Linked DNA regions of Diceros bicornis minor. The protein of the gene in region 1 binds, or shares a complex with, the protein of each later gene. Links are inferred from orthologs where the notes say so. Each region holds a gene or a part of one and is shown on either strand. Other genes may lie near its edges.

Region 1 (7,692 bases):
CAGCCCCAAGCCTCCAACCTGGGACCCAGGGTAGGGGAAGTGCCCCACCCCCACCCTCCAAAGTCTGGCCAGAAGCTGGTCTCTGACTTGCCTCTACCTAGGGGGTGGGGGTCCAGCGCCCCAGGCCTCTGGGGTCATTCAGCTACAGAGCCAGGCAGAAGGCTGCAGGCACTCCGAATCCGTGGGCTACCCCCTGTATGGGGCCCCACCTATACCTTCCGGGTCCACAAGTCTAACCAACCAGCCACCAGACCCTGGGCAAAGGCTGAGATACCTGAGGGCTGGGCTCATGCGACCACACCCAGTCGGCTAGAAGGCGCTGGGACAGAGGATGGCAGCACCCAGCTGGGTCTCACCCATGTTGGAAGCCAGTCCTCTCCCTTTGGCTCTGCTTCCCAGGTGCTGGTGGGAGGGCAGCACCAGCGCCCCCTCCCCTCTCTAAGGAGTCAGAGACCGTGTGTATTCAGAGCCTCCCAGGGCTGATTCCAAATTTAGGATGCTGGGGCATTAAGGCACATGAGGACATAGCTTAAGTGAAAAGGCTTTTCCACCCTGCCAGGCATCAAGGCCAATCCAGAGGATCTAGGCCCAGGCTGGTGACAGTGCCCGCCAGCTGTGGAGGCAGCCAAGGCCCTGCACTGCCCCCTGGTGACACCACGTGCAGGCAGGCAGGGCTCTGAGCTACTGGAGCTCAACTCTTTCCACTACTTCCAGCTGGGAAGGCTGAGGGCCAGAGAAGGGCACGGTCCCACCCAAGGTCAATGGACAGCAGGGGCAAGGCTAACTCAGCCAGCCTCACTCCCACCCACTGCACTGCCCCTTCCCCCTCTCCGGGTCTCCTCTTGCCCTCTTTCTTCAAAGCCCACCTGGGCTTAGCAGAAGCACCAGACTCAAGGATTATGAGCTGAGAAAACAACTCCAAATTATCTTTTATTTATACAAAAAGGGGATATTTAGCAAAAGACACACTGAGAAAAGAATCACTATGGCCCAGGAGACAAGGCAGGGAGGTGACAGGCCTTTCGAGGCCCTGCTGGGAGAGAAGGGGTCTAGGAGAAGTGGGGAGTCCTGGGCAAGTGCTGAGTGATGGGGGCCCCAGAAGGGAGAAGGCTCCAGTGGGATCAACACTGTTGGCAGGTCATGGGTGAAACTCACGGTGACCTCGCTGCTAACTCTTGTGGGGGTCCCACTTAGTGCTGCCAACTGGAGTGAGAGCTGCCCCCTGGTTCCTGGAGGACGCCCACCAAGGGACACAGGACAGGAAGCCCAGGATGGGAAGTGCATCTCGGGGTGAAGGCCAGGGAGAAGGAGGCGCTCTGCAGTGGCCGGGAAAGGTCCAGATGCCGAGGTGGAGGTGCGTCCTGTTACGTGCGGGCGTTCCGCTCTGTCTCTGCCAGGCACTCTCTGACTAGGGCCCGGGCATGGATGATGCCTGGGGTGGGGATGCATAAGTAACATCCAGGGTCTTGATCTCCACAGTCCCGCCCCCACCCTCCAAAGGAAGACCCTTCTCTCTGCACCCCCTTTCCTTTCAGTAAGAGGGATGATAATCTAAAGAGGAGCTGGATGAGATTAGAGGTTTGGCTAATCCTCAAACTTGCCCTGTTGAAATACAAATTCCCTGGTCCTTCCCTGGAAATCGACTCAATTTCAATTCAATTCAAAATGCCTCTCTGGAGACTGATACTGGCCCTGGTCTAGGCTTGGCTCTGGTGGCCCCCAGATGTTCTTCCTTTCCTAATGAAGGAGTGTCCAGTGTGAGTCTCCTGGGCAGCGGGGGTGGGCGTGGCCTCACTTACCTCTCTTCAGGCGCTCCATGGCGCTCTTGCTGCCAGCATAGGTGGGCCGGATCTCTTTGCCCATCTCCTCTATGACCGACAGCAGGTCTGTGTAGGTGCTCTGGGAGCCCTGGGCGCCAGGTGGCTTCATTGCCTGTGTCAAAAGAGGAACAGGGCAGTGAGCTCAGGTCCCGAGGGGGCCTCCAGTCCCCATCCACAGGCAGTCCCTCGGCCTCACTCACCTGCACATAGCCCATGGAAGGCGGTCCAAAGTCGTTAAACAGTGGTCTGAAAGGGGCAGCGGCTCCCGGCACCGAGCCCGACGGCGATGGGACACTCCCAGCTGCAACATGCGCGAGTAATTTACGAAGTCAGTGCGGGGCAGGGACACCTCCTCCCAGCGTTCCAAGCCCCCGACCGGACTCGCCCGATTCCCTCCAAAGAGATGCTTCATTCCAGGCTGCTCAACTTCAGGGACAAATCCCTCCCCCCTGCGCTCCACCAACAAGCCCTTACGTGACGACGCCCACTTCCCAGGCCAGCAAACTGAGGCTCAGCGAAGGTAGGCGGCAGGCCCAGTATTGCAGAACTCAGGCCGTCTTCTCTTCCAGACCTCGACCGCCCGGGCAGGCGAGCAGGGGTGGAGCTGGGTCCTCACCTGTAGGAACCGGGGTGCCGGGCCCAGGGGTGCTGGAGCCGGGGGTGCTGCTGGGGGCGGGGGCGATGGGTTTGTAGGACATCCCCAACTCCTGGGTGCGGCGGACGCCGGCCGGCCGCTCCTCCGGGGTTGGCTGCCTGGCCGCTCAGCCGCACTCTGATTGGTAAACCGGCTGCACGCCCCTGGTAAATACAGCTCAGGCCGGAAGGGCGGGCGGCCACGAACGCTCCCTCACTCCCGATTGGCTCACGGAGGTGTCACTCGGGCCTCCTCATTGGCCGAGACCGGCCCCAGCATGCCGCAATCGCTGCTGATTGGTCTCCGCCTTCCGGACCTCGCACCTGTCTGCTCCGGATTGGGCGGTGGCCGACGCCCTCGGCAATTGGCGAGTTCGCGGCCCGGGCCGGCGCGCTCTCAATCCGATTAGTCTCAAGACCCGAGAGGCGGGGCCTCGGCAGCCCGGACCAGGGTCTGGTCCGCCCGGTCCGCGCCGAGAAGGTCTTCCCGGGCGCCGGCGCCACCCTCACGCTTCACTCGCGCTGCTCCGTACGTCAGCTTCGCGCCGCCCGGTCTCGGTCCAGCTGGGGCTGCTGTCGCTGCCGACACAGCCGAGCGCGCCTTCCCTCCGCTCCGGGTGGCGGAGGACGCAGGGCTTTGACGTTCCGAGCCCTGCGCTCCACCCCGTGCGCTTTTACGTCACCTTTCACCGGTGCGACACCCGGTCCCCGATCCGCGCATGCGCTGTCATGAAGCCGTCGTTTGTTCCCATGGCAACGGGACCCTCACCAACGCTACCGCCGCGCCTCTTGCTCCCAATTGCCTTATCCTCATAGGCTGCTGTTAGGTCCAGGGGCGACCTCGAAGACCGCAACCTGCCCCCCCACCACGGCCCCACGCCCGTGCCTCGCAATGACCGTAGCAGGAACAGCTGACCTTCGTTGATTACTGACTGCACGCCGGGCCCTGTACCAAACGGATCATGGACAGGAGCACCGACCGGAGTCGGACTGAGGGTACGAATCTCACACCACCCCCACCAGCGATTTCCTCCTGGACAAGTTACTCATCTCGATGTGCCTCGGTTTCCCCATCTGTAAGATGGGGACGCTAATAACTATCTCACAGGGCTGTTGTGTGGGTTAAATGAATATTCATAAAGGGCTTATTGTTTCATTCTCCTCTTTCCTATCCGTTTCTCCACCCAGACCCCTCCCCTCAAATCTCATTCCTCACAACTCTAGATCTTAGACTCTGCTCCAAACACTAATCCTTTCTCCCAGGCTACTTCTCCCCCAAACCTCTCTAGCCTTGTGTATCCTTCATGCCCCCAGGTCTGTAGATTATCCTCATCCCCAGGACATTTATTCATTCATTCATCCAACAAACATTTTCTGACTCCATCCTCCATCCCAGGCTGGACACTGATGATACCGAAGTGAACTGGCATGGCCTCTGTCCTCAAGGAGCTCCTAGTCTCAAGGAGAGAAAGGCAGGGAAGCAACGGCTTCCCGTACACAGCACAGTAAGACAATGTGGAGACTGGGACAGTGCATTGGAACTCAGACGAAGGGACTCCCTGGTGACATCACAGAAGTGTTCCCAGAGGAGGTGGCCTTCAATAGGTGAATGGACAAACTGTGATATATCCATATAATGGACTATTGTTCGGCAATAAAAGGAAATCATTTATCCAGCCATGAAAAGACACAGATAGGCATATTGCTAAGTGAAAGAAGCCAGTCTGAAAAAGCCCCATACTGTATGATTCCAATTGTATGGCATTCTGGAAAAGGCAAACTTACACAGAAGGTAAACAATTACTGGTTGCCTGGGGTGTAAGGGATAGAATTGAATAGGTGAAGCATAGGAGATTTTCTTTAGGGTGGTGAAACTATTCTGTATGATACTGTAAGGGTGAATACAAGACATAAGCATTTGTCAAAGAGTAAACTTTAATGTTTGCAAATTTAAAAAATCATTTAGGAGGCCAGGGGATCCCAGGATGGAATGCAGACTATGACAAAAGAATCTAGCTGTATTACAAATATATGAAACGGCTTCACTGAAGGGAGTGGAGGAATAAGGTGGGAATCTGGAAGTGGCTGGAGTCTGTAAGAATAAAGACAAAAGGGACTGCACAGAGCACTGTACTCTAGTTGATGAAGTGGCTCCGGTGGGGGTGGGGGTAACAATGCTGAAACCACTGCGCATGTGCACAGGAATTGAAAATTAAGTAAACGTAGGGTGGATGATTTCTCACTGTTGGAATAAGAAGTTACAGGTAAGCAAGGGGAGGAGGCTAGAATGATCCATGTGGTAATGGATTGGAGTTGGAGACATCAATATGAACTCATGTTTAGCTTAATGTAGATACAGTTTGGTTGCATACAGAAATATTTAAAAAGGTATATATACGTAGGTTAGTATATACACATATCTCCTCACTCTATCAGCTGAAAGTCCTAGAAGCAACCTTGCACCCAGATCTTGGTTTCTAATACCATTCTCCAATAAAATGAACTAGAGTTCCTCGGAGAAATGGCTGATTCTAGGACTGGGGCAGGACATATACAAGATGCTCTTGAAGCATCTTGTAGTGCCAAGGGTAAGAAAATGCTAAAGAAAAAAACCTAAAAAAACCCCAAATCCCCAAACCCCCTAGGTGCTGGGGGTATGGCAAAGGGACACAGGAACAACTGCAAGCGCTCCCACTGACCAAGGCTGCAGCAATTTGAACAAAATAAATAAAATAGTGTTGAATTATAACTTGTATAAAATAAATATCTATGAGCCCATGCAGATAAAAATAAATGACTGACTGAATAAATAAATAAATGCGGGAGAAGAGAGAAATCTCCTGCAGGGAATAATTGCAAGTAATTGATGTAGCTACTCTGCCATTAATGAGGATTATAACCTCTCACCCCTTAAGTGTGGGCTGTGCATAGCGACTTCCTTCCGAAGAGTGTAGTATGTAACAGGAGAGAGAGAAAGAGTAATTTTACAGGACAGACCCCTGACAAACACGACCTCAGGCCAGGTGGTCAAGGTCAACATCAATGGCGAGATCATGTTGATAGCATGCACCCTTGATATGACGCGATGAGAAGGGCACTTTACCTCCGTGGTTTTCCTCCCCCAAATCCATAATCCCGGACTAATCATGAGAAAAACATCAGACAAATCCCAGTTGAGGGACATGCTACAAATACCTGACCAGTCCTCCTCAAAACTGTCAGGATCATTAAAAAACAAGGAAAGTCTGAGAAACCATCACAACCAAGAGGAGCCTAAGGACACACGATGCCTAATGTGATGTGGCGTCCTGGGGGGCATTCTGGAACAGAAGAAGGATAAGCAGGGGAAAACTGATGGAATCTGCATAAAATGTGGACTTTAGTTAATAATAGTGTGTCAGTGTTAGTCCGTTAACTGTGACAAATGTACAATTCTAATGTAAGATGTGAACCAGCACGACCATCCAGTGTGTTTTAGACACTGGGAGCATAGCAGCAACAACTGGTCTCATTGAAGCCACTCTCACTTCTCCCTCATGTGATGGTTAATTTTATGTCAACTTGGCTGGGTCACAGAGTGCCCAGACATGTGGTCAAACATCATTCCAGGTGTGTCCGTGAGGGTGTTTCTGGATGAGATTAACATCCACTGAACTGGTGGACAAAGTAAAGCAGATTGCCCTTCCCAGTGTGGGTGGGCCTCATCCAATCAGTTGAAGACCTGAAGGGGATAAAAAGGCTGTGTAAGAGGGAACTTCGCCTGGCTGACTGTTGAGCTGCGACATCAGTCTTCTCCTGCCCTCAGACTGGAACCTATGCCACCAACTTTCCTGGTTCTCAGGTCTTTGGGCTCAGACTGGAACTATATCACCAGCTCTCCTGGGTCTGTAGGTTGCTGACTGCAGATCGTGGGACTGCTCAGCACCCAGAATCACCTGAGCCAATTCCTTACAATAAATATCTTTACACACACACATATACACACAGACACACACACATTCATTGGGTCTGTTTCTCTGGAGAGCCTTGACTAACACACAGGAGAAGCTGGGTGTGGAGTATACAGGAGCTCCCTGTACTATCTTTGAAATGATTCTGTAAACCTAGAACTGTTCTAAAATAAGATAAGTGGATGTAATATGTTGATCTGGGTGACAGTTACCTGGGTGCGTGTACTTGTAAAAATTCATTGAGCTGTGCACTTAAGATTTATACACCTTACTGAATGTATATTATACTCAAACTATTTCAAGTGGACTTAATGTAAAAATCTGAATTTACAGCTTCTCTTGGAAAATCAGAAGATCTTGTAGTTCCAGCCTGCTCCAAATGGCAACAGTCAATGGAGGTGGGCGGCAGGTGCCCCCTTTAGGTGGGAAAGGGGCTCTTGGCTCAGTGCAATCTCTGCCTGCCCGCTGTTTCTTCCCGGCCCTGGTCCCCGCTCCAGCTGTCGTGTGTCGGGACCTTCTGGGCTAGAAGGCTTTTGGGGTAGGAGGGCATTCGTGAGGTTTGGGGGAGCTGTGGGCACTTCTGGTGCCAGTGGACACACTGCAGCCAATTATGACCATCCCACTAACTGCCCTCCCCTCCACCCCAACCACAGAGCCTGCCAGGCTGGGGCCAGGGGGTGTAGGAGGCTGACCCTGAGTGGGGTTCTGGTCTTCCCCTAGCACGCATCCATCACTAGCCCCCAACCCCTGCAGAGGGGACAGACATCTTTTCAGGCAGCAATGCCATCTGTGCCAGCCGATGGAGGGCGGTGGGAGGGAGACTGGGCCGTGGCTCCCAGAGAAGCTGCAGGGCTGGAGCAACCCCTCCTCATCCCAGCCCGACTGGCAGGAGAGCTCACCTAATTGAGGATTAAGGATTAAGTGGGATCTGCCAGGCGAGTGATGCTGAGGCGGCTGCAGCCAGCCCTGGCACCTCGGTGTCCAGTCTCTGGGCTGGGCAGGGCCCGGGGGCTGCCCACCTGCCCTGTCCCTAGGCCATCTTGTTGGCAGCAGTGATGAGTGAGGACGGGGCACGGGCGCTAAAAGCTCCCACCTCTTCTTGGCCAGGAGGTCAGGGCTCGTCCCCCCTCCCAGCAGGCAGGAGCAGCGGCCGATCAGACGGTGCTCTGGGGACCAGGCCTTTGCTGTAGCTAGAAGAGGCTGCGGCCCGTCCTGGGTCCACTCTGACCCTGAGGCACCTTCTCTTGCGGGCACTGTGATTTTAGAGGCCCTGCGTCTGGCTGCAAGTC
Region 2 (8,209 bases), on another chromosome or scaffold:
ATGTGTCCAGGGGAAATAAACTTTTTTAAGACAATCAGGGAGCACCATCAACACTAACAAAGACAAGGCAGACATCTTGACTGGTTTCCTCCGCTCTCAATGAGTCAACAGATGTTACTGATAGCTGTTCAGTTGTTTATTCAAGGCATCAGTGGTCAGTTTGAAGTTAGTGAAGATGAGCCTCTGTGAAGAGTCTGGTGGACCAGGTATGCCGAGAATATTTTCGAACAATTGGGGAAAACACTAATTTAGTGCAAACTGAAGTGGAATCTGCCAAGATGCTGCGATGGTTAATTTTATGTGTCAACTTGACTAGGCTAAGGGAGGCCCAGATAGCTGGTAAGACATTATTTCTGGGTGTGTCCAAGAGGGTGTTTCTGGAAGAGATTAGCATTTTAATCAGTAGACTAAGTAAAGAGGATCTGCCCTCCCCATTGTGGGCGGACATCATCCAATCCATTGAGGGCTGGAATAGAACAAAAAGGCTGAGGAGGGGTGAATTCTTGCTCTCTCTTTTTGAGCTGGGATGTCCATCTTCTCCTGTCCTCAGACATTGGAGCTCCTGGTTCTCGAGCCTTCGGACTCTGGGACTTACACCTGCAGCCCTTGGGTCTCCAGCTTGCAGACAGCAGATTGTGGGACTTCTCAGCCTCCATAACCACACGAGCCAGTCCTTATAATAAACATATGTGTGTGTACACACACACACACACACACACACACACACATATGCATACATCTCTCCAGTTGGTTCTGTTTCTCTGGAGAACCCTGGCTAATACAGATGTGTTATAAATGATGGTGATAAAATGTATGGAGCAGAAACGGGCTTGGTTGGACAAATTTACAAAGCTTGTTAAAATGTAAGGTGCTTAAAGCCTACAGTTACTCGTATTCCTTGTCAGCGGGTACTTTGTGGACAATATTTGAATCTGTCATGTCTTATGGAACCAGTTGGGTCAACAGTGAACTTCTTTTGACCTCGTGGACTTAACTATCATTAGTTCTGTGAATTTTTATCAGATATACAAGCTGAATATCTTGACTTGCCCTACCATACAGCAGCTTGATGGTGTAGCAATAGTTAAATTTTACTGTAATTTCTTAAACTCGGTGGAAATAGAAATTTTTCGGAATGAGAAGAACCACTCTCAACCACCATTATCAAACACGGAATGCCTTTGGAAATTAGTTTTTGCTGCATACTTGATAACGATCCTTCATGAATTCATCTGAAAATTGCATAAAATAGCAGTTAATGCAAAACTTATACTGTGGTAAAGTCATTTTGGTGACAACAAATGTCTGAGTCACAAACTTGCTTTATACAGTTTCCTTACTGTCAAAAGTCAAAACGAGAAATGCGACCTCCATTCCGGCCAGATTTGCAGCAGGCGTATTTCCTGAGCTCAAACTACAGTTCCAGCAGTGCTTCCTGGACCTCAGTGCAAGTGCAAAGGAAATTTCTGTATTTCAAAATGCATTTAACAGTGTTGAGGAGCTCCCACCCAACCTTCATTTGAGAGTGATTGATCTGTAATGCAATTGCATGCTACAGTTCATGGTCCCCAGGACCATCCTCAAGTTCAATAATTTGCTGGAAGGACTCACAGAACTCAGCAAAGCAATTATACTCATGGTTACAGTTTATTACAACAAAAGGGTACAGACCCAAATCAGCAAAAGTAAGAAGCACGGAGGTCAGTGTCCAGGAGAGACCAGTTGCAAGCTTCCAGTTGGCCTCGCCCGGTGGAGTTGTGGACGGTGCATAATTCTCTCAGCCACCATGAGTGACAGTATACACGAAGTTTGCTTACCTGAGCCTCAGGGTCCAGGTTGTTTATCTCAGGTTGGTCACATAGTCGTGGCTGACCATCTGTGGCTGGCCTTAGTTGCCCAGTCTCTAGCCCTCCAGAGGTTATGTCCCCTGGTCAGCAGAGACTCTTATCAGGCAGGACACTCCAAGGGCTTTGAGGTTACCTCCCAGGAGCAGGTCAAGGGCCAAACCTTACTTTGGAAGGTGCAGAGTGTGGACAACCCAGGCCAGTTGAATTAACCCTTTACTGCACATAGGCTAAAAGGAAAATGTCCAGAGAAAAATCTAATGGAGTTCAGTAAATACCTTCCAAGTGATGAGTATGCTCCATTAAAACTGTATACCTGTAGTTAGATACCAGTATTTGGCAGCACCCATCTGCGTGGAAAGACGTTCACGGATGAAACACATGAGATCGCATCACAGATCAGCATGCACAGGGGAGCATTTCCCATTGATTTTGATGACAGCCAATGCTAACTTTGAACTCCAAGGAAGCAAAATGTCCTCCCCCCAGAACAGGATTCAGTTCTTATTAGTAGACCCATATTATTAGACACCTTTACTTGATTATTATTGTTTTAATTTAATTTCATCAGTAAAAAGTTTGTGGCAATGTGTTGTATTAGTACCTACATGGTATCCTTGGTAAAGTATTTACCATCTGGCCCTTTACCGAAAAGGTTTGACAACCTGTGTTCTAATCCATGGTACCTTATGTTACTGTTTATTGAGATCTTCATTGATTTTTCTGACCAGTGTTTTGTAATTTCCAGCATATAGGTCTTTGCACAGAACTTTTGATCTTTAAAGATCTGTGGACCATTTGTAAACTGATGCTTAAGTGTGGGATGTGTCTTGGAGCTATTGTAAATGGTACTTTTTATATACTATTTTAGTATCCTATGAGCTTGCTGAATCCTTACTCTTTAGTTTTAATAGCTTTTTTTGTAGACTGAGAAGTTCTGTGTAGACAGCCATGTTATCTGCTTGTAGAAAGTTTTGCCTGTTCCTTTCCAATCTGCATGCTGTTCATTTCCTTGTTTATTTCTCCTCCTTGCACTGACTGGGACTTCTAGGTGAACAGCAGTGGAGACAGTCGACATATTTGCCTTCTCCTGATTTTAGGGGGAAGTGTTTCATCATTAAGTGTGACGTTAGCTGTAGGTTTTTTGTAAATGCCTTCTATCAGGTTGAGGAAGTTCCCTTTAATTCCTGGTTTGCTTAAGAGTTTGTATCAGGGGGCCAGCCCCGTGGCGTAGCGGTTAAGTGCGCGCGCTCCACTACTGGCAGCCCGGGGTTCAGATCCCGGGTGCGCACCAACATGCTGCTTCTCTGGCCATGCTGAGGCTGAGTCCCACATACAGCAACTAGAAGGATGTGCACCTATGACGTACAACTATCTACTGGGGCTTTGCGGGGGGGGGGAAGAGTTTGTATCAGGAATATGTGTTGGATTTTGTCAGATCTTCTCCAGTGTCTATTGAGACGGTCATGGTTCTTTAGTCTGTTGACGTGATTTTCAGTGTTGAACCAACCTTGTATTCCTGGATGAATCCAGGGGTGGAGATTTATTATCCTTTTTTATATGTTACTAGCTTCGATTTGCTAATGTTTTGTTGAGAAGTTTTGCATCTGTGTTCATGAGGGGCGTTGGTCTGTGGGTTTCTGGTGACATCTTTGGTTGCGGTGTCGGTGTGATGCTGGCCTCGTGAGCCAGTCGGGGAGTGTTCCCTCCCCTTCTGCCTTTGGGAGGGTTGGTGTAGACTTGGTGTTAAATCTTTCTTAAATGCTTGGTAGGATTGCCCAGTGAAGCCATCTGGGCCCGGAGGTTTTTTTGTGTCTTTCTTTTTCTTTTTGGTTGTTGTTGGGAGGTTTTAGTGTATGAATCAGCTTCCCTGCTCGGTGTGGGGTGGCCTGTTTCTTCCTGGGTGAGCTTTGGTCCTTCATGTCTTGCAAGCACTTGGTCCATTTCATCCACGTTGTCAGATTGACTGGTAAAGCTGTCTGTACGTCCCTTCCTGCCCTTCTCACGGCAGCAGGATGTGCAGTGATGTCCCCTCTCGCATTCCTGGTGTTGGTTATGTGTGGCTTCTCTCTTTTCCTTATCAGCCTGACCTGAAATTCGTCGATTGATTGTTTCAGTGAGCAGCTTTGGTCCCATTAATTTGTCACCACTGCGTTTTACTCACCTTCGTTTTTTCTTTTTTTGCTGAGGAAGGTTCAAGTGGTGTAGGTCCATGCCTGGAAATCAAACCCGGGCCGCCAAAGCGGAGCAAGCCGATCTTAACCACTAGGCCACGGGGCTGGCCCTGGCCTTGGTTTTTGCTGGTTATGATTTCCTTCTGGCTTGTTTGTTTTCCCATTTACAGAAACGCAATTGGCATACAGTAAAGCCCTCTCCTTGTAAGTGTGCAGTTCTGTGAGTTTTGGGAAATGTCTACAGTCATGAGACAGCCCAGTTCCTGTCTCCAAGCCCTGCAGGCCCGAGTGGTCACCCCTCCTGCCACCTGCAGCCGCTGGCCTCTTCTCTGCCCTCTGGCTTTCCTGGGCAGGCACTGCGCCACCCGCAGCCCAGGAGAGCACCCTCGAGTGTCATCCGAGCACAGTGTGACCAGCAGGACTTCAGCTGGCACTGCCAAGGAGGCAGCCATTGGACGGACGGACCCGCTGCTGGTCTGTCTGCTCCCCACTTGAGGGGAACATTTGGGTTGTTTGCAGTTTTTGGCACATATGAATAATTATTTGAGGTTTAATTTGCTCTTTATGTAGTTTCTTAGAATGAAAGCTTAGATGATTGATTTGAGATCTTTTTATAAAAACCACTTTATTGAGATAATTTTCATTTGATAAAATTCACCCATTTTGCTTGTACAGTTCAATGAGTTTTAGTATTTTCATGAGTTGTACAGCATCACCACAATCTAAATTCAGAACATTCCCATCACCCTAAAACAAACCTCGTGCCCATCGACAGTCATCTTCTGTAGACGCCTTTGTTTTCAGCTGACCTCTGAACATGGCCCGCTGAGGGCTGCGGCTAGGCTCACTCTGGGTGTTTAGTCTCGTTGCTCTTTTGTTCCGTGGAGCTCCCTGAGGGCGCAGCATGTCTGATCTACCCGTGTCCTCAGGGCAGCACAGGTGAGCCCGGGGAGTAACGTTCACAGATGTGTGCCCCCTAGGTGCGTGCCTGCAGGTGCATCCTCACAGGTGTGCACCCGTAAGTGTGTCCCTACAGGTGTATCCTCACAACCTTGTGCACCCACAGGTGTGAACCTGCAGGTGCATCCTCACAGGTGTGTCCTCACAGGTGTGTCCTCACAGGTGTGTGCCCCATGGATGTGTCCCCACAGGTGTATCCTCACAGGTGCGTGCACCCACAGATATGAGCCTGCAGGTGTGTCCTCATAGGTGTGTACCTGCAGGTGCGTGTCGACAGCAGGAGGCAGATGCTTTTTCAGACCCCTCCACAGGGTCCAGGCAGCACAGGTGGGACCTCCCATGTGGACAGGGCTGAGCTGGCTCCTTCGGCATTTGCTGGTCTTACTGCAGTTTGCCAAATCTGTGCCCAGTTGTGGGCATTTGGGCCATATCCAGGCTTTAACTGAATTCCAGCTAAGAGGAGCCTCCTGGTTGGCCGTCTCCTGCAGGGCTGGCCCAGCCTGCGACTGCAGGCCTCCTCCATGGGTGGGGAGGGACGTGGTGAAGAAGGCCTTCGCATTCCTGGTGCAGGTTGGCAGGGACAATGGCTTGGCCTGCTCCTGGAGCTGAGCCTCCCCTGAGCTGCTCCAGTATGCCTGGAGCATAAAGGCGTCGGCTGGGCAAGCCAGGCTGGCAGGTGGGTGGCCTCGTGGCTGTCCTGGGGTTTCCAGGGTGAGCCTCCTGACCTCCCACTGTGGACCTCTCAGAAATCTCGGGAGACTGCCAGCATCCCTAAGCCAGACCCTGACTCTCCCCCTATGGAGCCTGTGGGAAGCCAGAGAGCACATGTGGTTTGTCTGTGAGGAAAGTTTGTACTGACCTGATGGTCTAGGGGACCCATCAGGGTGCTGTCGGCACCCTTTGATCTCGCTCCTCTGGGAGACTGACAATGTCCCTGTGCTAGCAAGCTCTGCCTGGTTTCTGTCCTCCCTCTGCCCCGGAGGCCCAGCCTCCGTTCACTGCTTTTGTTTTTGGAGGGAAAGGTCGAGGGGCATGGGGGGATGTGCATGGAGTTGGGGGAGGAGACACAGGGATCCAGCAGCCCCCAGTGTGCTGGCATGGTCTCTGGCTGCAGCACTCTTGGGCTACCCTCCAGGCCAGCAGCAGCCTCCTGGGAAAGTGTCCCCAGGGGGAAGGTGTCCTAGGGGACAGTGTCCTCAGGGGGAGGCTGCAGCCTGGCCCCCATGGCCTCTCTTGGGAGGGACAGAGCTCCTGGTGTTGGGACCCACGGGATGGGGAGGGCTGCTGGCTCCTGCCTGGAGCGGCCCCCTCCTGCCTCGTCTCGGGCCCTTGCCCAGCACCCACTGATGTGGTTCTGGTTATGTCATCTCTCCCCTGAGACAGTGGGGCCTTCACCTCCTTCATTCCCTCCTGATCCCTAGCCCCCAGAACCGAGGGTACGAGGGAGTGGAGGGGGGTATTTGGGCTCCCCTGGGTCCCTGGGGCGGTGGGAAATTCTGAGTGTGGCAGGCTCTGCTGTGGGATGACGCTCTCTCTGTACCTGTTTGCAGACTATGTGTACTTCGAGAACTCCTCCAGCAACCCTTACCTGATCCGGAGAATCGAGGAGCTCAACAAGGTAGCGTGTGTGTGTGCGGTGTGCCTGGTGGTCCCGTCCCTGCCGGTTGCGGGGGCGGGGGGGGGCAGCGTGCCCCTGCCCTTCCTGCGGCTCTGCCTGGGGCCATCGTCACAGATGAGACAAAACACGCCCCCAGCCTCTGTGCCGTGTTTGCAGGGGACTTCTTGGGTTGGCCCCAGACTGGCCACTGTCTGCTCAGACCTTTGGGTGGCTTCGTCCCCAGGATCACCTGCCTAGACTGGGTGCTCCTCCTTGGAGAGCCCATTAGTGAGGTCCCTGGTGGCCTCACTTGAGGGACATGCTCAGGGGGTGCCTGAGCAGAACAGAAGTGCTCAGAAAGCGTCTGGATTGGACGATTCTGGAGACCAGCCAAAGAGCCAAGGAAGCGGCCTGGGCAACCATAGCCCGAGGGTGCCTGTGGGATCCATGTGCCTAGGGGTTCCCTGCTTGTCTCCTGTCTCCCTCCCTGCTTACTTGGGCCGCCCTCCTCCCCGTCACTCGTCAGGCACTTGCAAGTTGGTCAGGGAAGGGGGTTGTGCTGTACTGGAGGCTGGGTGAGCCCAGAGCCCACCTGGGGCCTGGGATGCAGTGGGAGTGGGCTGACGGGTTGCGAGCCCCGCTACTCCCCCATCTCTCGGATTCAGAATGGCCTCCGTCTTTGGTCAGAGCCTGTCGCATCCTCCTGGCCAGTGGGAATGAGCAGTCTCCCTCCGACCCAGAGGTGTGAGCTGCCTCCCCTCCTCTCCTGCTGGCCTCGTGGTTGGAGGTGTTCGTGGGTGGCGCTGGGGGAGAGGGCAGGCGTGTCCCTTCCTCGTCCGTGGACATGGCCACAACGATGCAGGGTCAGCGGAGCCCCTGGACCTGCAGCTCCTTCCTCCCTGGGCCTCTTCCCTTGATTCCTGCAGAGCAGCTACTGAGCTCCTCTCTGGAGCAGCCCCTCTCCCGGAAGCACCCGTTGTTACTTGTGCTGGCGAGGGGGCCCTTGCTGTGCCTCTGTGAAGCCAGCCCTCAAGAAGCTGCTTTCTTAGACCTCAGGCTTTGTGACAGTGTGGCTTGGGATTCTTGGGACCAGGCAGGATGGGGTGGGAAGGTCAAGTGCTGACCCACAAGGGTCAGACTTAGCTGCAGCTGAACCTGACCCCTTGGCCATGCTTGCCAAGGGCCTCTCCCTGTGGCATCTACCACCACCACCAGGACAAGGAGAGTCGGAGGGGTGCCTGTGTCCCAGCCTGAGCATGTCAGGCTGGTTGGAGTGATCTGGCAGCTCCTGGAAGTTCTGGGGCCAGATCTGGAGGTGGCAGGGGCAGGGGAAGCGACTGGGACATCCTGTGAGGCCACTGCACTGCCGGAGCTTATGCCTCTGCAGGCGCCTCGTTGGCGGGGCCCTGCTCCCAGCTTGCCCAAGCCACAGGGCCTGCGGGAGAATGGGCAGCTGGCCTCCTCAGCTGGAACAGGAGCAAATGGTCGCCCATCTGCACGTGCCGGCACACACTGACGTGGGGACATGAGGAAACAGGCACAGAGACTCCTCAGATGGCAGTGGAGCACGGTTGGAGGGGCTGGGTGTCCACACGTCCTCCAGGTCTCTGCAGTGACAGGTGGTGCTGGCAGGT

The links. Proteins that work in one complex are often made in the same cells at the same time.
Region 2: CDK2AP2 (region 1) and MTA1 share a complex: the UniProt entries of both Homo sapiens proteins name them as parts of the nucleosome remodeling and deacetylase (NuRD) repressor complex. The link is inferred for Diceros bicornis minor from reciprocal best matches to the Homo sapiens genes CDK2AP2 and MTA1.

What each region holds. Positions count from the first base shown.
Region 1 is NC_080770.1:6,040,635-6,048,326, reverse strand, and holds CDK2AP2 (cyclin-dependent kinase 2-associated protein 2), read right to left. Parts: upstream 2,888-7,692; 5' UTR 2,519-2,887; coding exon 2,437-2,518; intron 2,431-2,436; exon of another isoform or gene 2,295-2,430; intron 2,122-2,294; coding exon 2,021-2,121; intron 1,933-2,020; coding exon 1,800-1,932; intron 1,433-1,799; coding exon 1,365-1,432; 3' UTR 913-1,364; downstream 1-912. UniProt on the Homo sapiens protein: Acts as a component of the histone deacetylase NuRD complex which participates in the remodeling of chromatin.
Region 2 is NC_080763.1:49,835,199-49,843,407, forward strand, and holds the start of MTA1 (metastasis-associated protein MTA1), read left to right. Parts: upstream 1-5,183; 5' UTR 5,184-5,201; coding exon 5,202-5,241; intron 5,242-6,485; exon of another isoform or gene 6,486-6,500; coding exon of another isoform or gene 6,501-6,528; coding exon 6,529-6,596; intron 6,597-8,209. UniProt on the Homo sapiens protein: Transcriptional coregulator which can act as both a transcriptional corepressor and coactivator. Acts as a component of the histone deacetylase NuRD complex which participates in the remodeling of chromatin.